Pelodiscus sinensis: one gene and its partners. The protein of the gene in region 3 purifies or fractionates together with the protein of the main gene of each other region. This does not show direct contact. Links are inferred from orthologs where the notes say so. Each region holds a gene or a part of one and is shown on either strand. Other genes may lie near its edges.

Region 1 (7,215 bases), on a different chromosome or scaffold from region 3:
GATGTTGGTGCGTTTCTTCGCCACATTGATGAGGTCACGGCCGGAGCGATGGGAGAACTCCACAGCATAGACCAGGCCTTCCTGGGTGGGGTAAAAAACCATGGTCAGCCATCTCCCCCAAGGGCAGAGCAGCTTTTCTTCCCATTCTCCCCTCCCCCCACAATGCAATCAGGCACTGCCTTCTCTCAGCACAGCTGAGTCATACTCACTAGACACTTCGTCCCTGCCCCCACCCCCATCCTCTTCAGACCCAGGCCCAACAGCAGCTCCTTACCGGCCCCACGATGTCGGAGACATGTGAGACTGTGGTTCCAGAAGCAGCTCCCAGGTACAGGACCTTGGCTCCCGGCTTGATGTGGATTTGATCAATGCCACCTAGGATGGCTGCTGCCAGCTTGGAGCGGAAAGGGTTCCAGGCACGGTACTCTATCTTCAGCTCACCGTCCTGCAGAGAGAGCAGCAGGGTCAAAGCTCAGCTCAGCTCCCCCGGGGCTGTTAACTGGCTGCGAGCATGCTCCACTGTGGCAGTCGCCCCAACCCTAATACCCTTCCTGCTGGGGTAGTGTCCCTCTAGAAACATGGGAGCTGCCTTAACAGGCTGGCACCATCCCACCCCTGAGTCCTGGGGCAGCCAGTGCTGCCCAGAATTTCCCCCATTACCACAAGGCCGCCTACCTCCACAGAGATCCTCTTCTCTCCATACACAGACTCGCCGGGCACCAGATTCTTCGTCACCAGCGCATCCTCCTTCCCCCTGCAGATGAAGACGCCTGGGTGGAAGGAGGAAACGGATGGGAAGCTGTCAGAACAGGGACAACCCTCTTCCCAAGTCTAAGGAGAGCAGGGGGAACATTCCCTGCTATGGGAAGGAGTCAATTGCCCTTGCAAATCATAAAGGGATCACAGCAGGGCTGCCAAGCCATGGATCAGCCATGTAACCTCCCATACACAGTGCCTCCAACACTGGATAGCAATCCACCCCAGCTGTGCCCTGATCAATCCAACATCTAGCAGTGAATCCCAGCGCTGTCCAGTCCAGGCAGACCACCTTGGCCACAACACCTCACTGCTCCCAGGAGACAGCACTATTTTGTCCCATGCTGGTTACCTTCATGCCTGTGGGGCTCCACCGTCACCTTCTTGCCTCCTTTAAACCCTCCTCGGCCGCCCCGGCCTCCTCCACCGCGGCCTCCTCGGCCTGGCCCGCCTCGTCCACGGAAACCACCGCCACCTCCTCTTCCTCGGAAGCCTCCATCACTCCCACCCGGAGATTTAAACCCACCACCTACAAGGGAGAGAAGAGATGGAGTAGAAGCACATTGGCCCTGTGCCATTGTCCCCGCCCTGCATGGAAAGCAGAGGGGCAGAGCAGCTGTTCACTTTGGGACAAGATATGAAGGCGGGGATCCAGTGTCCCTGAGATCACGAGGGGAAATAACCCAGGCAGGGGTTGGACCATGGCACACTGATGGAGCTGGGACAGGATGTGCTGTCCACACAGCAACACAGCCCAAAGTCAATGGCCACTGAACTGAGGTGCGGTGGGAGCAAAATTCTCCCAGTATTCACTGGACAGGAAGGTCTCCAACAGTGGGTGTTGCCTGGGACCGAGGGGAGAGGGGGAGGTGCAGCACACAGGTGCTCAGTCGTAACCACAAAGCCCTCCCCTCCCCAACACAGCGATGCCACTGGGGCACAGAGAGCACTTACCTCGGCCTCCTCGGAAGCCCCCTCGGCCTCTTCCACGGTCCCCAAACCCACCGCGCCCTCCACGGGGACTGAAACCTGCAACCAGGAGAGAGTTAGAGACCACACCCCACCATGACCCTCCACCCACACCATAGAGAGAGAGAGCGGCCTGAACCCGAACACCACTCCCCACCATTGCTCTCCCACCATGGATACAGCCCCACCCCATATCCTTCCTGGTCACCCCATCCCCTTGAATTGATTAACTGGTTAAACATAGGTAAACCAATTAAACGGGGGCAGTGGGAGGGCCTGCCACAGGGCTGGACCTAGAGAAGTAAGGGATCAGTCTATTAGTCAACCAGGGAGTTAACTATTCACATTCCGCTGGCTTAAAAGCCGATTCTCCCCAGCACGGTCTCCGCGGAGGTAGGGGCAGGGGCTTCTGCCGGCTGGGCAGGCAGCCCAGCTCAGCCCCAGTTCACCTCACTGTGTCTTTGCAATTGAAAATGCAGTAGGAATTAGGCAACCTGCCCCCAAGCTCCTACCGCCTTTAAACTGCAGAGACACAGCGGGATTTGGTCCCAACCCTGTACAAACCGGGACTGAGCCAGCTGCCTATTGACTAATCGAGTAGTCGATAGAATTTTTATCGACTACTCAACTGGTTAAATACCCGCTTCTTAACATCCCGAGCTAGAGCAGCCCCCACCATCCCCTGCCCGGGAGGCAGGGACTGCTCCAGCCTGGCCTGCGCAGCCCCCCCTGGTTAACCTTAACTGGTTAAACCTTCACCTCCCTTGTCCCCACCCCAGCACGCTGCTAGCCCGCCTCCCACCTGCCTTTCCACGTCCCTCTATCCCCACTGTCTGCACCTTCTCGGGTGCGCCCCAAAACCTCCACCCACCAGCCCCCATCTAACAGTAAAACCCAAACACGCGCCCCCATCCCACTACCCCCCCAGGCTCCTGTGCAGACACGAGCCCCCCGCAGGGGCACAGAGACCCCCCCCCCTTCCCGCACCTGGACACCCCCCTGGGCCACGCGACCCCCCGCAGCCCGGGCCACGTGACTGCTCCCCACTAAGCACCCCCAGCCCCGGACCCCCCCCCGGGGTCACGGCCCCGCACTGACCTTGTCCCCCCCCCCCGGGGTCATGCCCCCCCAACTGACCCGTCCCCCGGGACACGGCCCCCACTGACTGCCCCTCCCCGCACACGTGGGCCAGCCGCGCTCACCCGGCCTCATGCTACTCGCCCAACGCCGCGAGCCGCCTCACTGCGCAGACACCAGCACCCTGGCCACTGCGCACGCGCAACTCTGCTCCGCCAAGAGCCGCCGCTGCGCATGCCCACAATAACCCCGCTTTCCCCATCTCCGCCAGAAGGAGGCACCACGGGAAATGTAGTCTCCGCTGCCAGCACATGCGCACAACAACGGAGCCGCTGCAAAAAGAGAGCGCTGCGCATGCGTGTAGTACTCCCCCGGCCCATCCCTGGCCCCGGTGTTAGGTCCCCTCCCGCACCAGGACTGTTGAGGCCAAGTGAGTCCACATCAACACATGGCTGATGAGGGCTGGGTGCAGCTGCTGGGATGGGGGAGCCCTGCAGCATACTAGCCTGTTAACCTGTGGAACTCCTTGCCACTGTGACCCAAAAAAGGCATGGATGACTTCTTTGGCTATTAGCCAAGAGAGCCAGGGATGTGACGCCCATGCTTTGGGCTTCCCTAAACCTCTGCCTGCCAGAAATAGAGAGGCAGGGGGGCGGGACTGGCAGAAAGTAAAATTTTGTGAAATAACCATTCTGAAATTTTGCATAAAAATAAAATTATTTCCTATAAAACAAAAATGTTGAAATTTTGTGCTGGAAATAATTCCCTTACTCTCAAAAAAATTAAATATTTTCCATGAAAAAATTCTGACATGTCCTGTTGATTTATTTTCTGCAAAACACAGGTTTCAAATATTTGATTGCAAAACATTTTAAAAAGTAAACAAAAATTTATCCTAAAACCAGGGCTACTCAATTTAGGAAGCCCCAGGGTCCACAATGATACTCACAGCACATGCCAAGGGCCGTGACTTAAGTGTGGTTGCATATACATGCACATTTATATGCAAATATATGCAAATAGCTTCTTTCACACTGACCTGCATGAATACAAAGATAAAACCTCAAGCCACCATGGGCCAGTGTGAGCCAGTCAGCACCTGTCAGGCTCTGTCCACAAGGCTAAGCAGCCAGCACTTCCCACAATGCCCCAGCACTCCTGGCACCTCTTCCCTGGGGGCTAGAAATGCCGACACCCTGTACCGGTCTGTTCCAGCCAGCCCGTCTGCCTGCGTCTTTCAATGCTCACCCCGTCTGAGAAATGCTCACCGCTGTGAAGCATAAGTGGTGAGGAGTCCTGTGGCACCTTATAGACTAACCGAAGTGTTGGAGCATAAGCTTTCGTGGGCAAAGACCCACTTCATCAGATGCATGTAGTGGAAATTTCCAGAGGCAGGTATAAATATGCAGGCCAGAATCAGACTAGAGATGACGAGGTGGATTCAATCAGGGAGGATGAGGCCCACTTTCAGTAGCTGATTTGGAGGTGTAAATAGCAAGAGAGGAGAAGCTGCTTTTGTAGTTAGCAAGCCATTCACAGTCTTTGTTTAATTCAGAGTTGATTGTGTCAAACTTGAAGATGAACTGTAGCTCAGCAGTTTCTCTTTGAAGTCTGGTCTTGAAGTTTTTTTGCTGCAGGATGGCTACCTTTAGTTCTGCAATTGTGTGTTCAGGGAGATTGAAGTGTTCCCCTACAGGTTTTTGTATGTTGCCATTCCTAATATCTGATTTTTGTCCATTTATTCTTTTACGTAGGGATTGTCCAGTTTGGCTGATATATATAGCAGAGGGGCATTGTTGGCACATGATGGCATATATTATGTTAGTAGATGAGTAGGAGAATGAACCAGTGACAGTATGGCTGATCTGGTTAGGTCCTGTGATGGTGTTGCTGGTATATATATGTGGGCAGAGTTGGCACCGAGGTTTGTTTTATGGATTGGTTCCTGAGTTAGAGTTATTATGGTGCGGTGTATAGTTGCTGGTGAGAATATGCTTCAGGTTGGCGGGTTGTCTGTGGGCAAGGACTGGCCTGCCTCCCATGGCCTGTGAAAGTGAGGGATCATTGTCCAGGATGGGTTGTAGGTCACTAATGATGGGGTCCAGATGATGAAGATGTCATTGATGTAGCGTAGGTAGAGAAGGGGCGTAAGTGGATGAGAGCTGAGGAAGCGTTGTTCCAGGTCAGCCATAAAAATGTTGGCATATTGTGGGGCCATGCGGGTGCCCATAGCAGTGCCACTGGTCTGGAGGTATATATTGTCACCAAATCTGAAATAGTTCTGTGTGAGGATAAAGTCGCAGAGCTCAGCCACCAGTTGTGCTGTGGCATCATCAGGGATACTGTTCCTGACAGCTTGTATTCCATCTATATGTGAGATGTTTGTATAGAGAGCCTCTACATCCATGGTGGCTAGGATGGTGTTTTCTGGAAGATCACCAATGCATTGTAGATTTCTCAGGAAATCAGTGGTGTTACAGAGATAGCTGGGAGTGCTGGTGGCATAGGATCTGAGTAGATAGTCCACATATCCAGACAGTCCTTCAGTGAGAGTGCCAATGCCCGAGATGAGGGGGGTCCAGGATTTCCAGGTTTGTGGATCTTGGGTAATAGATAGAACAACCCTGGTCGGGGCTCTAAGGGTGTGTCGATTTGTTCCTGTGTTTGTTTAGGGAGTGTCCTGAGCAGATGGTGCAGTTTCTTAGTGTATTCCTTAGTGGGATCTGAGGAAAGTGGTCTGTAGAATTTGGTATTGGAGAGTTGTCTGGCAGCCTCCTTTTGTAAGTCAGGCCTGTTCATGATGACAACAGCACCTCCTTTATCAGCCTCTTTGATTATAATGTCAGAGTTGTTCTGGGGGCTGTTGATGGCATTGCGTTCTGCACGACTGAGGTTACGGGGCAAGCGATGCTGGTTTTCCACAATTTCTGCCTGTGCACGTTGGCAGAAGCATTCTATGTGTAAGTGGGGGAATGGTCCCGCTATTGTGGGGAACTTTCCTGGCTTCTATACACCCCGGTGAAATGGACCAGCGAAAGGATCTGAGTCCCCACTCCCACTTCCTTTACCCCACGGCTTCCCTGATCCTGAGGGCTCCCCCTCCACTCTCCTGAGTAGCAGAGCCCTCGAAACCCCAACAAGGCTGGGCCCAGGTTTCCTGGGGCTTAATCCCCGACCTTGTAGTCACTAGGGGCAGGAGTTAGGGTGTCCCCACTCCGAGGTGCTCTCTTTACACTGCAGGCCTTCTTGGCCCAGCGATCACTTCATAAGGTTCAAAGCAAATACAATTTATTAAACATCAACTGATTAAAGAGAAAATAATAAGAAAAAATGAGAATGGTTAAATGAGAACACACAGCCCTGCTCTGTAGCACAGGGACATCAAAACAGCAGCCTGCAGAGTGTAAGGTCAGTCCACAGTCTCTTCCTTAGAGGCCCCTTAGAGGCCTTGGATGTGCTGCAGGGGGCTGCAGGCTGGACACGCTTGCTCTGGCAGTGACCACACAGCCTCAAGCTCTAAGTGGCCAGACCCCTCTCCCAGTCCAGAGCCTCTCCCCATACTTTGCAGTTCCCAGCTGCTCACCACATCCAGCTGCAGGCTGTGCTGCGTGGCCAGTCTCTAGCTTCTTGCGTTGCTTCTCTGTTCCTTTTGGCTCTCTGAGCACTGCCAGTCTGCTGCTCAACACAGGGTCTGCGCTCCTTGAGCTGTGTGTGTCTGGCTCAGCTGCTGCAAAAACTGCCCCTCAGCACACAGCTTGCTTTGCTTGGGCTGTCTCTCAGCTCCCTGTTTTTGCAGGACTTCTTCTGCACACAGCTTGCCCCCCTTGGGCAGTCTCTCAGCTCTCTGTTTGCTCAGAGAGAGCCAGAACAATCCCAGCTCACAGGGAGGACGGGGCCTGGCCTCTTGCTTTTCTCACTGGCCTGTCCAACTTGTCAATCAGGCTAAGCTGGAGTGTTGGCTGCTTTCCATTGTCTCTGGGGTCTGTCAGTCTCATGGACCCTTCCCCTGTTGACACTGGGAGCTGGCAAACTAAAAAACTCCCACAGAGTATAAGGGGCTAACAGTCCCCTTACATATGTAGTGGTCCAGACTGTCATTTCGACCCACAGGAGGTGTCCATATGGAGTTCTTCTTCTTGTGCTGTTGGTGGGAAGGTATCTGTGTGTCAGTGCACTGTTCAGTGTTGTGTTGGAAGTATTCCTTGAGATGGAGACAGCGAAAGTAGGCTTCCAGATCACCACAGAACTGTATCATGTTGTGAAGCGTGTTCCCAGTGGAGGCCATGTTCCAAGGATCCCACCCACAGGCCGGATGTTGAGCCCCATGTAAACCCAAACTGCACCAGGGGCCACAAATAAACAGGTCACAGGCCACATGTTGAGTAGCCCTGCTAAAAAAAATTCTGAAATTTC
Region 2 (7,463 bases), on a different chromosome or scaffold from region 3:
GATGTTCAGTGCACTACTATACAACTTAAAAAACACAACTTGTCATTTCCAGTATGCCTTGGATGATAAGTGCTTCCAAAAACAGAAGACAGCACAATTTTTGCCTTGAGGAGCTCTTAATCTAACAGTCAAGTAAACAAGCAGCAGCAGAAATAAGTGAACTCATTAAACAAAATATGACTTCTTAAAAATCAAAAAAATAAAACCAAGCAAGTAGGTAAAAATTTAAGACTACAGAAAGAGCTAATTTTCTTTTTGCTCCCTTCAATTCCCTTTGTGGTTCTTTTTTTAATTATCCCTACACCTTATTTGGAGGGATAGATTTAATTACACGAAACGTTATTAGAGATATCTGAAAAGGGTAAGTGTCAATAGTAATCATATTAAACACATGTTGAGAAAAAATAATTTAAAGTATTGTTTAGGGGTCAGGAGAGATGCAACGAGATGTATGTCAAGAGGAGTGAACTCAGTACAGTAGGGCTCACTACAGTAATTGCTTGATAACTTAAGACAACAGTGAACTCCTTAAAAGATGGATGATATCTGAATGCAGAAAATTTTGAGATCCTGAAATGGAAGATGATGCATAAATGCAAATAATGGGATGGTATTAGGGAAAGGGAAATAAGGCTGAATATTAGTAAAAAGTTTTCAAAAAGTGATATTTAGTCAACTGTAGAACTGTCTTCCATTAGGGAAGTGATTGGATCATTAATATGATCCATCTATATTCATAGCTTTGTCTGATGTGAAGAATATATCCATAATGAGCAATCCAGCACTGGCCTTTGAGGCTGCACATAATGACCTACACAGGGGTGGGCAATAATTTTTGATGGGGTCCACTCCAAGAATATAGAAAATGGTCAAGGGTAGGACTTTTCCATTATATTAATGGAGGAGGTGTGGGATCTGGGATGGAGGTTGTTCTTCACACAGTGCACAGTCAACCTGTGGAACTCCTTGCCAGAGGAGGCTGGGAAGGTTAGGACTATAACAGAGTTTTAAAAAAGAGCTAGCTAAATTCATGGAGGTTAGGTCCATAAAAGGATACTAGCTAGGGGGTAAGGAATGGTGACCCTGGCCTCTGTTTGTCAAAGGCTGGAGAAGGATGACAGGAGACTAACTGCTTGATCATTGTCTTCGGTCCACCCCTTCTGGGGTACCTGGTACTGGCCATTGTCGGAAGACAGGATACTGGGCTAGATGGACCTTTGGTCTGAACCAGTATGGCCATTCTTATGAGGCTGGATGCAGAAGAGAGCTTGAAGTGATTGGGGTGCATGAGGGGTTGCGAGCTTTGGGAGGGAGTTTATGTGAAGGTGGCAGTTGTGACCTGAGGTACAAGAGGGGGTGCAAGGGTTTGGATTGTGACCCATGGCAGGAGGGGGTTGCGACATGGGGCAGGGGACTGGGGTACAGGAGTTTGGGTTGTGACCTAGAGTGGTACAGGAGGGAGGGCAGAGGGTTTGTGTTAAGTAGCATATGGGTGCAGGGTCATTTGTATGTGTGTACAGCTAAGAGCTGGAGAGGAGAGGTACTTTGCATGCTGCTGTGCTTCAAACAGGCAGGTCCCATTGGCCAGAAACCGACCATTGGAATTGTGGTAGGGGCAGGGGCAGCACATGGAACCTCTTCCCCTCCCCAGACAAATGGCCCGACAAGTCACTTTTCTGAGCAACGTACGGAAGAGGGGCAGGCAGGGAGCCTGTGTGAGGCTCTTTGCTGTGTCCATGGGCTGCATCCAGTGGTTTGTTAAGCTGCATCCAGCCTGCAGGCCTTATTTTGCTCTTCCCTGACCTACAAGGTCTTTTTCCACCTCTAACTAACATCCAGCAGTATTGCATGGCACTCGCTGGGTCAGATTCTCCACCTTATTCCTACCATTTTGATACTTCCTCTCCAGCACCTAAAATAAACTGCATGCCATTCCTTATTCTCTCCAACAGTCCTTCTGTCAAATACTTTGTTTCCATTCCTAGATAATTGTAGAGACAGAAATGTAGCCGTGTTAGTCTGGTGTAGCTGGGACAAAAAACAGGACTATGTAGCATTTTAAAGACTAACAAGATGGTTTATTAGGTGATGAGCTTTCGTGGGCCAGAGCCACTTCCTCAGATCAAATAGTGGAAGAAAATTGTCACAACCATATATACCAAAGGATACAATTTTAAAAAATGCACACATGTGAAAAGGACAAATCAAATTTCAGATGTGTTCATTTTTTTAATTGTATGCTTTGGTATAGATGGTTGTGACAATATTCTTCCACTACAGTATTTGATCTAAGGAAGTGGGTCTGGCCCACCTAATAAACCATCTTGTTAGTCTTTAAAGTGCTACATAGTCCTGTTTTTTGTTCTAGATAATTCTAGTCTCTCTCATACTTTCCCTGGCTTATTTAATGCTCTCTCATCTCACAGTGGCTTCATACTATGTGCTAATACAAGACTCAATGCAAAAATAATGGTGATCCTCTCACATGCTATCTATCTATATTTTTTAAAGTGCATGTGCGTGTCAGTCCATTTGTTCACAAACTCCTCCTAAATGGTAAGAGCTAGGGCCACCAAATTTGGTGTGTAGTAAGGATGTTAAAAACTGTGTATTTGTGTAAGCATGTGACTGCTGAAATTTTTAGTGGTTATATGTTAACACATGGAGGGTGGGTAGGCAGGAGGGAGCTGGTGCTCACGGGGAGCCGGCTGTCTGCAAGCATCAGCTCCCGCCTACCCCCTCCTCCTGCTGCTGCCTTTCATGGTGGGCAAACAGCTCCATGGGCTAGAATTAACGGATAAACCTGGGCAAATTCAGGGTTTGGTTGTGCCAAGAAAATGAGATGTGCCTAGAATTTGATAGTTTTCCATTACATGGAAAGGGAGGGGAGCAGAGAGGAGAGATCCTCACACTCACTACTGGGGGGTAGTGAGCCCACAGGAGAGCTATCCTGCAGAGTGATCAATGAGGGCAGCCACACTAGCAAGAGTGACCAGCTGAGGATGGGACTCTACCACCTTAGCTGCCAATTGTAAGTGGCCTCCCTGTCTAAAACCCCTCCACCTGCCGTACCATCGGGGCTGGCCAACCCAACCCCAGCTGCCCCATAGGACCCCCAGCAGCCTGGGAGAGACCTTCATGCACCCATCACCCTGCCCCCACTTCCCAAACCCTGGTCTGGGCCTTCCCATGTCCCTGGCCCAGGCCCCCTGGCAAGCACTGAGCTGCCCCTCCCCTCCAACTCCAGCCCACACAGGGTCATCATTCCCCACCACACCCCCACCCACATCAGATGTAGGCAATCAATGCTGAGTAAGTCTGCTAGTAACAATAATAAAATAGCAAAACATTTCCATCTCTGATACATTAAGAATTTAACTCCAGCATTTCTGAATACTATCAACATCTACACTATTGCAAGTCTAGAACTGAGATATCTAATGCCTTGCATCCACTGGTCTCATCTTTTTGTTTTTTGTTTGACTGGATTATGTCCATTGGGAAAGCCACTACCAAGTGCAAGAAAAAGGGAAAAAAACTGTAATTTTAAACACGTGAAAGACTGATGACAGATATATTAATGGTCTGATGATGTGCTGGGCTCCTTACCTGAATAAAGGCATTTGCCTGCACACATTTTGCATTTTCCACTGTTACCTTGATTCCATTTCTAGTTGCAAAACACGTTGCATAGTCTTTAAAATGAATCGCTTTTAGGATATTCGAGAGGTTTCTGACATTGTCAAGACTGGCGACTAAAACATACTGATCATCGGCAGTTTCCAGCTGAGTAGAGAGGGGCATTATTCGTTTGCATTCACCACTCCAATCTTCCCTGTGACCGTATATGTGAGGCCTGCAGGGGCAGTGTCAAAGAGAACCTAAAACAGAGGTCACATACTTCTGTTACTCTAACCCGCTGGTGGTCAAGGACAGGCGGGAACGGCTGCCCGGCTGGCAGCTGCGATGACGCCCCGGCAGCAATGCGGTGGTGAAAGTGACCAGACGGTACAAGTGTAAACGTGTCGCTATTGCTGCTGCCCGCGAGAGGGGCTGGAGTTCAGTGCAATGAAAGCGGCGGAGGAACAGCGGCCCCAGGCCGCGCCGGTCGCTGGCTACCACGCGCCCCGTCCACTGGCGCTGCAGCCCGCCGAGCCAAGGCCCGTGTCCCGGGCGCTGCAGGGCAGAGCGCCCCACGCGGCTCCCAGCCGGCGGCGCCCCAGCTTGGGCGACACGGACGGTCCCGTTGCACGAGGCGCTCGCAGGCCAACGGGCCCGCGCTGGGGAGCCGGCGGCCCCGGGCCGAGCGGGGATGGGGAGAAGCCGCACCCGGATCCTACCTATTCCCTACGAGGCGGCGCTCGCCGCCGTGCCTTACGGCTGTCGTAACACGAAGGCCGCCCAGAGCCGGGCAGCGCGGCGGCGCTGACCATAGAGCGAGGGGCGGAAGAGCAGAGCAGCTTCCGGGTGACGGACGCGTCACGTGTAATGAAGATGGCGGCGGCCAAGAGGAAGCGTGGAGGGGCTGCGGCGCGGCCCAAGAAGCGAGCCAGGGGGGCTCCCGATGGCAGCGGGCCGTGGGCCAAGCGGGGCCCGCAGGGAGCGGAGAGGGAGGAGCACAGCATCCCGGCTCCTGTCTGCAAGGTAGAGAGAGCGGCTGGTCCCGCTTCTGCCCGAGGCCTGTGCACCCCTTTCCCCGAGAGTATTGGCACAGTCCGGCCTGTCTCCATGCGGCGCCTGGGCTGAGAGGCTGGGGAGCCATCGCTTGTGTTCTCGTTCTTGGGGGTGGGAACAAGGTCACCTTAGCTCGCCGGTCCCGCTGCGGGAAGGGTCTGGTCTGGCTTTGTCTGGCCTGTTGGGATGTAGCGGGGCGGAGGAGGCCGCTTAAGGGAAGCATCTGCCTCAGTCCTTTTTTTAGCGATATTGCCTTATTTAAAAAAACACTTGTCTTCCCTGTAAGTCATCCATAGTCTCAGAGGGCCGCCCCCTGCTTAGCGTGGAAGGGAGCAGAGTAAGGATGTTAAGTAGCATGTAATTGACTAATCAAATAGTTGATGCACTTTGGATGCGCTTTTGCACTATTCGATTAGTACTGCATGAAGCCTTTCAAAGGGGCTGCACTTCATGGAGCCCGGGGTTATCTGGGGAATCCCCAGCTGATCCTGGTCTTTGTGCTGCACTTCCCCTTTGAAAGGCTGCACAAGGCATTTCAAAGGGGCAGTGCTCCGTACGGCATTGCTGATTTGAATTACCCCATCTTCTCCCCCCCCCCCCCCCCCACACACACACCTTGCTGCCTCTCTGATAGAGGCAGCAAGGGAGGGAAACGACTAGTCAGCTATCCTGTTGACTATCTGATAAGCATTTAACTAGTTGACTAGTCCTTAACATCCCTAGAGCAGAGCACTGATCTCCACAGAGATAGGTGTTGTCTTGATCTGTGTAGTCACCCATACTCTTCATATGAGTACAGCCCTGTGTGGATATAAACATGTGGATCCACATCTGACCAACATTGACTAGAAACAATGTGTATCTGATCTGCATCGGTCAACAGCAGCAAACCATCTCTCAGCGCTTGCTCTGAAGAGGCGCATCTGGGTGTATGTGTGGCCTATGGCTTAATAAAATGGGCACACCAACCATATTATTGTAAACATCAATCTGAATTTTATAACCGTCGTCATTAGAACAAATATTTGGAGCGGCGTTGGAATGCTCCTGCTGAGGAGTGTGGCTGGGGCAAGAGTGCTTATCCTGTTCTGCCCTGTCAGGTGCTCCTTACAGGGAGTGGGACAAGCACCTGTACCCCAGCCAAGTTTCTTGTCAAGAGCGCCCCAACCCCACTCTCCAATAAGCTCTGAGGGCACCCTTCTCCCCATCAGTGCTGTTACTCCTCACTTTCACAAGGAGTATGGAAAGTCAATAAGTGTGTTTCACCCATGGACTTCCTGCTGTGGGAATGGCACCAAAGTTCAGCTTAATGTACGTCAACTCCAGCTATGTTGTTTATGTAGCTGGGATTGCGTACCTTAAACCAACTTTCTGTACTATAGACTTGACCTTAATTCTTCACTCATTCTTCACCTTAAAATTAGATAACATAAACACTTCTGTACTACCACTGTATGCAGTTTAACTTTCATGTACTTAATGTCATTTTGCTATATTTAGATATGTTTTCTATCAGTCTAGATTCCTGTCCCATCCCTAACCCTCATTGTTATTGTTTAAATGAGAAAACACAGATTTCATGGTATTTACCCTTTCTGTCTGCAAGCAGGTACATCCTGTTACATGAAGTTAATCACACCCTAAGAGGGGAAATTTTATGTGACCATCCTCAAATATTGACACTGAAAACGTTGAATTGATTAGGATTTTTTTGTGTAGGAATTAAGTAGTTAAGTGTGGAAGATCAAAATTGATCACGTTAACATTTATATATGCAGCCTGTTGGAAAGACAGCACTTTATTTTAATTGAAAACTTTTGCACAAATACAGTTTTAAAAAAATCACAAATATCTTGATTAAATATTAACTTTGATTTTAAAAAGTTGAAGATTAAAATTTTTTTTCACCTTTGTGTTTCTTTTAGGGTAAATGGAAAAACAAAGAGCGGGTGCTTATTTTCTCTTCTAGAGGAATAAATTTCAGAACAAGACATCTAATGCAAGACTTGAGAACATTGATGCCCCACTCTAAAGCAGGTAGGGTCGATAGGTACTGCTTTTATCTAACTCTGTCACTGTTTTTGGCTAGAGTGTTTTAGTAAACTACTGTCTGTTATTGACATTATTCCATTATGCTACACAGAATATCTGTTGGACTCTAAGATTTAGGTTGTCAAGTGATTAAAAAATTAATCATGATCAATCATGATGTTAATAATAGAATATCATTTAAATAGTTTGGATTTTTTTACATTTTTAAATATATTTATTTCTGTAATAACACAGAATACAACGTGTATAGTGCTCATTTTATATTTTTGATTAAAAATATTTTCAATTCACCTAATACGACTACTGCAGTACATTCTCTTTATCATGAAAGTTGAACTTACAAGTATAGAATTACATGCAAAAACCCCTGCATTCAAAAATAAAACAATAAAGTCTGCTCAATCCCAATTCTTTTCCAGCCACTTGCTAAGAGAAACAAGTTTGTTTACATTTATATGAGAGTTTGCTGCCTGCTTATTTACAATTTCACCTAAATGTAAGAATAAACTGTAACGTGGCATTGTTGTAGCTGGCATTGTTAGATACTAATGTGCCAGATACGCTAGAGATTCATGTCTCTTTATGCTTCGACTATCATTCCAGAAGACATGCATGCATGCTGATGATTCTGTTTGATAACTTTCCAAGAAGTGCAAAGTGATGCATCTTCATTTTCATCATCTCATTTAGATGCAGGAGGTTGATTTTCTATTTTGGTGACTTGTGTTCTGTAGTTT
Region 3 (7,743 bases):
TGCAGGAAGGGCTGGGAGCGGGGCAGACGGCCCAGGAGTGAGGCAAGGGCTGAGTCCGCCCTGCAGGCGAGGTGAGGGCAGGCCCTGTCTGAGGTGCGGGCGGGCTGCCCGGGGGGAGCGCAGGGCTTAGGCTGACCCGTCTGAATCCTCCGGCATCTTCCGCCCCGCGCGGCGTCACGGACACTCGCGGCATGGCCAGGCCCCGCTCCAGCGATGCCTGTGACCCAGGGGCCCTCTCAGCGACGTCTGGGGGCTCCACGCACCTGGCCCAGGTCTCTTGCACCTCGCTCTCAGCCCAGAGAGGGAGCGCGAAGCCAGCCCCCCACAGCGCACACAGGCCTGTTTGAAGGGAAAGGGGCGTTATCGGCACTAGTCAGGTCAACCCGCTCTGTACAAAGCTAACACGGTTCTCCAGGAGGCAAGTGTCATGATTATGCGGGTCAGCCAGCAGCCTGGGGATTAAGGGGTTAACTACACCTAGCCCGGTGGAGTGGCCGATAGGAATGTACGTAGGACTTTCAAACTGGGACAAAGGAATTTGGGTTTTTTCCTCCTTTGTCTCTCTGGGCCAGTCCTCTGCAGCTACATGTCTCTCGCTCTCCAAGAAACAATTCTTCACTTTCTGTAATCAGGGTGAGGGTTAGGTAGTTTCATTAGGCTTTATTGTTTTAAGGGTTGGGTCTGGGATCTGAGATCTGGCCCTGCTTAAGAGATGTTTGGCTTTTCTTTGTAACTAAGTTCTAGCCCACGGTGTAATTCCTCCATGGCTGCGTCTACACTGGCAGGATTTTCCGAAAATGCTTTTAACGGAAAAGTTTTCTATTAAAAGCATTTTCGGAAAAGCGCGTCTCGAGTGGCAGGATGCTTTTCCGCAAAAGCACTTTTTGCGGAAAAGCGTCCATGCCAATCTAGACGTGGTTTTGTGCAAGAGAGCCCCGGTCGCCATTTTCGCGGTTGGGGCTTTTTTGCGGAAAACAGTCCTGTGCTGTCTACACTGGCCCTCTTGCACAAATGATTTCGCAAGAGGGCTTTTGCCCGAACGGGAGCAGCGTAGGATTTCCGCAAGAAGCACTGATTTCTTACATGAGATCGTCTGTGTTCTTGCGGAAATTCAAGCGGCCTGTGTAGACAGCTGGCAAGTTTTTCCACAAAATCATCCAATTTTGCGGAAAAACTTGCCAGTCTAGACACAGCCCAGGAGTATATTTTGTGACCTTTCCAGCTGATCCTTATGCTCGCAACAGGAATATTGTTATAATAATAAAAGTTTTCTCTTTTCTTTTAATTAACCTGGCAGTGGTTACTGGTGTGTCCTGATTTTTATAATAGGGGTGAGATTTCCCAAATAATCTTTCCCCTAATCTTATTAATATTTGGATGGTGGCAGCGGAAGTTTTATTCCCAAAATCTAGGTTTTTAAGATTTTGGGGGAAGTTTTATGCCAAAGCCTGGTAGATAAGGCTTTGGGGTACACCTGCGGGCCCCCACTTCTGCATTGATCATGCCAGAGTGGGGAAGGCAGCAAGCTCGGTGCGTCCTTTAGGCCTTACTGAGGCTATGCATAGGGGGCTCCTGCTGACGCCTCGAAACCTCGCCCTCCCCCACGTCCAAGTACCACTGACATCCCGTTCCCAGTTTGTATTCCCTTCCCCCCACGTGCGCTGAGCTGTGAACAACCATCGGGGAAGCCGCCTGCAGAACTTGTGCTCATGGAGGGAGGGCAGAAGAGCCAATGGCAGGATGGGCCGTCTGGCGTGGATGCCACCCTGCCCCTGGGGCCCAGCACTTCACAGGAGTGACTGTCGCTCCCAGCAGCAATGCACCTGCAGGCCAGCAGCTCCGCCAGGACCCTTTGCCTACAGCCATGGACAGGTCGCTTGTTCGCGTCATCAGCTCCATTTTGGTCCTTTGGGACGGGGAGAAGCTGTTTGGAAGTGGGGGATGGGTTAGAACCTCTCCCCTGTGTAAGGGGGGCTGGGGGGCACAGGGAGCACTGGGGTGTCTGAGGGGAGGTGGGGGATGGGTTAGAACCTCTCCCCTGTGTGAGGGGGGCTGGGGGGGCACAGGGAGCACTGGGGTGTGTGAGGGGAGGTGGGGGATGGGTTAGAACCTCTCCCCTGTGTGAGGGGGGCTGGGGGGCACAGGGAGCACTGGGGTGTCTGAGGGGAGGTGGGGGATGGGTTATAACCTCTCCCCTGTGAAAGGGGGGCTGGGGGGGCACAGGGAACACTGGGGTGTCTGAGGGGAGGTGGGGGATGGGTTATAACCTCTCCCCTGTGAAAGGGGGGCTGGGGGGGCACAGGGAACACTGGGGTATCTGAGGGGAGGTGGTGGATGGGTTATAACCTCTCCCCTGTGAAAGGGGGGCTGGGGGGGCACAGGGAGCGCTGGGGTGTCTGAGGGGAGATGGGGGGATGGGTTATAACTTCTCCCCTGTGTGAGGGGGGCTGGGGGGCACAGGGAGCACTGGGGTGTCTGAGAGGAGATGGGGGATGGGTTATAACCTCTCCCCTGTGTGAGGGGGGCTGGGGGGCACAGGGAGCGCTGGGGTGTCTGAGGGGAGATGGGGGGATGGGTTATAACCTCTGACAGGTAGTGGGGGTGCAACTTTTATAATCCCGTGTTGGCTCTGCTGTGCTGTGTTCGCTGTAATTCCCGATGACTCACCGAGATGTGTGCTGGGGCCAGACACAGGAGATCATAGCCCTTGGCCTGGAAGGGAGACAGGACAGGCGGGGCTGCACCAGACTGGGGGGTAGGGCCTGTGGGAAGGGTCAGTCTCCACTGGGCTAGGATGAAAGAGGAGGCGGAGAGCAGAAAAGGGGGTGAGGGACCCCGGGAGCCCTCCTCACCATGAGAGGAATAAGGCTGCCTGCCCTGGCTCCTGGGTTACCATCGATTCTGTGCTACACTGTCCCTGGGAACCGATTAACCTTCAGTTCTACCTGCCGCCTGCGGGTCACATCTGGCTGCAGATGGGGATGCAGGGGCGGGGACCCCCGACGCGTCATCACAGTGGTGTCGGGTGGGATGGACTGCACCCCGTGGATGGAGCATCCGGCGGTTAAGTGACTGGGGCGCAGGAGAAGGAAGGGGGCTTGCAAGAGCCAGGCGTGCGGGAGGCAGAGAGAAGCGATTCCAGAAAGCCAAGGGGCAGGCAGCTTAACCCGAGCGTGACTGCAGAGAAGGAGCGTTCCTCAGGACAGGGAGTGGCCCTCAAGGAGCCGGGTGCACTGCGGGGTTCTTCCTGGGAGGCATGGGGTACTGCCACCTTGGCCAGTGTCTGCCCCGGGGAACGGCGGGGAGATGGCCTACACCTGGCTGTGCAAGGGGAGGGGCCTGCCCTTGGGGAAACTGACCAAGGGGAAGGCCCAACTAAGTGCCCAGCTGGAAGAGAATGAACTGTCTGGGGGCCTGGATCCTGCCCCAGCTGGGAGCAGCCAGACACCCCCGGGAGTGCTACAGGGGGCTGGAGTCTGGCTGACGGACACGGTGCCCTTCAGGCCACACTGCCACCAGCGGTTCGTCCCAGCTGGGCTCTCCCTCCGCGGAGCTGCACGGCTGGAGACCAAGCTGCAGCTCAAGGAATTGGAGGGTTGTATGGAACAACGGCAGCAGGAGCTGGCCATGGCAGAGCAGAGAAGCAGAGGGGCCCAGGGCTGCAGGTCCCTTTGAGAGGTTCGTGCTGTCCCAGTGTAAGGATGTATGGGACTTGAACGGGTTTCTTGACTCTTTTGAGCGAGTCTGCGAGCTGCACCAGGGCCCCCTAGCCAACTGGCTCCAGCAGCTCACCCCTTTGCTGGATCAGAAGGCCGCAGGGGTGGAAGGGCTGCAGCCCGGGGACTACGAACGGGTCAAACAGGCCCTGCTGCACAGGTTCGGGCTGACTCCCGAGACGTACAGGAAGAAGTTCCAAGGGGTGCAGAAGCACCCTGGAGAGACCTACGCAAACCTGGACTCCTGCCTGACGCACGCACCCCAACCCCAAAGCGCTGCAGTGTGCAGGGAAACTGAGGCACACCCCCCCCTCGGAGCACTGCAGTGCACAGGGAAACTGAGGCACGCACCCCCCCTCGGAGCACTGCAATGCGCAGGGAAACTGAGGCACGCACCCCCCCCTCGGAGCACTGCAGTGTGCAGGGAAACTGAGGCACGCACCCCCACCCCAAAGCGCTGCAGTGTGCAGGGAAACTGAGGCACGCACCCCCCCCCTCGGAGCACTGCAGTGTGCAGGGAAACTGAGGCCCACAGGGAGGCACAGGACAGAACCGCCGCAGCCCGACCAAGCGAGCAAGTGGGGCGAGGGAAGAGGGGGTACCCGGGGGGGGAGGGGGGGTCTGCTCTTCAGCCGAGGCCAGGCCGGACCAGGGCCCCCCCCCCCCCACGCTCCTGGCCAATGGCCGAGCAAGCCCCGCCCCCCGTCACCTCCTAGTGCGCTGCGGCGCAGCAGGAGAACGCCCCCCCGCGCATGCGTACAGAGCAGCGGAAGCCGCCCACTGCGCCGCGGAGACTGGCGGAATCCACCGCTCTCGCCATCCCATTGGCTGGTGTGGGGAAGAGGCGGGCCTAAGGACGCTCCCGCTGCCCCATTGGCTGGTGTGGGGAAGAGGCGGGCCTAAGGACGCTCCCGCTTTCCCATTGGCTGGTGTGGGGAAGAGGCGGGCCTAAGGACGCTCCCGCTGTCCCATTGGCTGGTGTGGGGAAGAGGCGGGCCTAAGGACGCTCCCGCTGCCCCATTGGCGAGTGAGGGAAAGGGGCGGTCACTGATTGGTGGAACGGCCGGTTTCCGGTTCCTGCAGGCCTCTAGCGGCCCCGTTGCGTGGGGTGGCGGCACGATGGTGAGCGGCCTGCGGGGCCCATCCGGGCCCATCCCCCCCGCGGCAGCCGGTTCGAGCCCGAGCGTGGCGGGGCTGCGTGCTGGGGGGCCTGCGGGACCCGGGGAGGCGGGGAGCCGGGCCGATGGGGGGAGGCCCGGGGAGCGTGCGGGATTGGGGGGCGGCGGGGAAGATGGGCGGGGGGCAGGTTCGGGGGGGGGGGGGCGGGAGCGGGGAGGGGACCGGGGGGAGCGGTTGGGGGGGCGGGAGCAGGGAGGGGACGGGGGGGGGCCGGTTGGGCCGGGGGCGGTGGGGGGGGAGGGGACCGGGGGGGGCGGGAGCAGGGGGGGGCGGGGGGGCCGGGGGCGGTGCGGGAGCAGGGAGGGGACCGGGGGGGGGCGGGAGCAGGGGGGGGCCGGGGGCGGTGCGGGAGCAGGGAGGGGACCGGGGGGGGCGGGAGCAGGGGGGGGGGCGGGAGCAGGGAGGGGAGCGGGGGGGGGCCGGGGGCGGTGGGGGGGTGTCCTACGCGCGCTCACGGCCCCGCTTGCAGGTGCTGCTGCACGTGCTGTTCGAGCACGCGGCCGGCTACGCGCTGTTCGTCGTGCGGGAGGTGGAGGAGATCAGCCTGCTGCTGCCCCAGGTGCGCCCTGCCGGGGGGGGGGGGGGGGTCCTGGTTTATTCTCGCCCCCGAGGGCTGTTCCCCACCGCGCTGACCTTGGGCCCGGAGCGGCTGCCTCCCTCCCTTACTCCCAATCGGGCGGTGGCTGCCCACGTGCTGGGGTGGCTCCGCAGGAGGCTCCCTGATCTGACCCTGCAGGGTTGGGGGTTCCTGCCTAGATGGATCCTTGCACCAGCGCAGCCCTACCTGTCCAGTTGTACCCGCCAGTACCCAGGACCAGCTGTGTATAGCGTGGGGCTTGCTAGGCATGGGACTGCTGCTTGGCGGTAGGCCCCTGACTGGGCTACATGTGTACGAGGGATGTGACTAGTTAACCGGTTCACTGGTACCCAAAGGGGTGTGAGCAGGCAGCAACAGCCCCAGCGTTGTGGGAGTAGGGAGCAGCAGCAGCCCCTGTGTGGCCAGGGGACCAAGCTGGAGCGGTCTCCTGGGATCTTGTGCTTGATTGGTTAAACATAGTGCTTACGGGATTAACTGATTAAGGGGGATTTTACATCCCCAGTGCGGCCGGGGGATGTGAGAGCATACCCTAACCAGCGAGCCTGGGCTGATCAGTTAATCTTCACGCCTTAAGGGCACCCCCCTTCCCCCACATGGCCACTTCTGCTACAGAGGCAGCAGCACAGAGGGGCACACGCTAGGAAGCTGCCTGCCCCGCCCCTGCTTCCTTGGGCAGTGAAGATGGCTCCGCTGGAGCCCCTGCTTGTGTGCAGCTGGATTAAGTCGGCTCCCTGCAGGCGCTGAGCCCCTCCCCCTGGTGTGTAAACGTGTAGCCGTGTTTCCGGGTTTCTTCAGAACCCCACATCTTAACGGCCCTAGTGTGAACCCAGCCAGCAGGCCTGGCTCTCTGTGGCCAGGCAGGCGGGTCGTGCTCTTGGCTCCCACCTTGTGCAGTGATGAACAGCCCAAATCTGTCAATCCACTGAAAGCGGTGATGCTGCGCTGTGTCTGAGCACAGGTGCGCAAGTGGGGGGCACTTGCAGCTGCGCTGAAGGGGGCGCTGCTGTCCGTGTTCCCGCCGGTGGAGACGGCATCCCTGCCATGCGTGTTGGGGGCTGCGGCCGTGCAGCCGGGGCTTTAGCTGCATTGTGCTCCATCAGAACCTGTGCGCGCCTGGGCCCCTGCGGGTGTGGTACCCCAGCCTGCCCTGTGTTACTCACCCGCTGCCCTGTGCCCGCCCCAGGTGGAGGAGAGCATCCTGAACATTGGCAAGTTCCACAGCATTGTCAGACTGGTGGCCTTCTCCCCGTTCCGATCCGCCCAGAGTGCCTTGGAGAACATCAACGCGGTCTCAGAAGGTGAGGCTGAGCTGGTGGCTTGCTCCCCGTCAGCCTGCGACGGGTGGCTGGGCCAGGAGCGGAGCTTGCTGCCCTCTTGCTCCCATCCATGCCCTGTGGCTCGCCATCCAATAACTCCTTCTCCCTGGGGCAGGGATCCTCCATGAGGACCTCAAGCTGCTCCTGGAGACCAACCTGCCGGCCAAGAAGAAGAAAGTGTTGCTGGGAGTCAGCGATGCCAAAATCGGGGCTGCCATCCAAGAGGAGCTGGGTTACCAGTGCCAGGCTGGCGGGGTCGTAGCAGAGATCACACGAGGTGAGGGCGTGCGCGAACGAGGCCCAGACGGCTATGTTCTGGCATGGGGATCCTAGCAGGCCCCCTAGGGATCATGTCTGGTCCAGTCCCCTGGTGCCCTGCCTGTGTGGGAGCTCAGGTGCTCACTCGGGGCTGCCCTCCTTGGCTTGTCACAGGGTGGGCGGTGTGGCTGCGAGGGGTTCCGTACTCACCAGACACTCTGTGCAGGGATCCGCCTGCACTTTCACACTCTGGTGAAGGGCCTCACTGCCCAGTCGGCCTCCAAGGCACAGCTGGGCCTGGGGCACAGCTACTCACGAGCCAAAGTGAAATTCAACGTCAACCGGGTGGACAACATGATCATCCAGTCCATCAGCCTGCTGGACCAGCTGGACAAGGACATCAACACCTTCTCCATGCGCGTCAGGTGAGGGCTGCTGCAGGGGTGCTTGCCCGGGGCTTAGCTGGAACGTGCACTGTCCCTCCCCATGCTTACCGCAGGCAGCGCGACTTCCAGCGCTGACTGCACAGAAAGGGGAGGAAGAGCATCTGCCCTGCGTACACCCCAGCCAGGGAGCCTGTGACCTGGGCTGTCTTGTTAGCAGGGAGACACGGCCGTGGGGCGGGAGGAGCTGGCGGGTCCATGCTTCCCTCCTTGACTGCTCCCCTCTGGCTCCC

Evidence for each region.
Region 1: the proteins of NOP56 (region 3) and FBL purify together in Homo sapiens (affinity purification with mass spectrometry; 6 studies listed by BioGRID and IntAct, counting the BioPlex papers as one, with this or other methods). This does not show direct contact. The link is inferred for Pelodiscus sinensis from reciprocal best matches to the Homo sapiens genes NOP56 and FBL.
Region 2: the proteins of NOP56 (region 3) and BRIX1 purify together in Homo sapiens (affinity purification with mass spectrometry; 3 studies listed by BioGRID and IntAct, with this or other methods). This does not show direct contact. The link is inferred for Pelodiscus sinensis from reciprocal best matches to the Homo sapiens genes NOP56 and BRIX1.

The regions. Positions count from the first base shown.
Region 1 is NC_134734.1:4,829,726-4,836,940, forward strand, and holds the start of FBL (rRNA 2'-O-methyltransferase fibrillarin), read right to left. Parts: upstream 3,004-7,215; 5' UTR 2,938-3,003; coding exon 2,928-2,937; intron 1,786-2,927; coding exon 1,711-1,785; intron 1,286-1,710; coding exon 1,109-1,285; intron 771-1,108; coding exon 676-770; intron 446-675; coding exon 275-445; intron 82-274; coding exon 1-81.
Region 2 is NC_134716.1:107,060,446-107,067,908, reverse strand, and holds the start of BRIX1 (ribosome biogenesis protein BRX1 homolog), read left to right. Parts: upstream 1-4,460; 5' UTR 4,461-4,488; coding exon 4,489-4,644; intron 4,645-6,599; coding exon 6,600-6,711; intron 6,712-7,463. Other genes in the region: cell cycle checkpoint protein RAD1, read right to left, coding at 3,610-3,804. UniProt on the Homo sapiens protein: Required for biogenesis of the 60S ribosomal subunit.
Region 3 is NW_027465891.1:299,455-307,197, reverse strand, and holds the start of NOP56 (nucleolar protein 56), read left to right. Parts: upstream 1-4,735; 5' UTR 4,736-4,835; coding exon 4,836-4,838; intron 4,839-5,364; coding exon 5,365-5,454; intron 5,455-6,676; coding exon 6,677-6,791; intron 6,792-6,924; coding exon 6,925-7,086; intron 7,087-7,293; coding exon 7,294-7,492; intron 7,493-7,544; exon of another isoform or gene 7,545-7,680; intron 7,681-7,743. UniProt on the Homo sapiens protein: Involved in the early to middle stages of 60S ribosomal subunit biogenesis. Required for the biogenesis of box C/D snoRNAs such U3, U8 and U14 snoRNAs. Part of the small subunit (SSU) processome, first precursor of the small eukaryotic ribosomal subunit.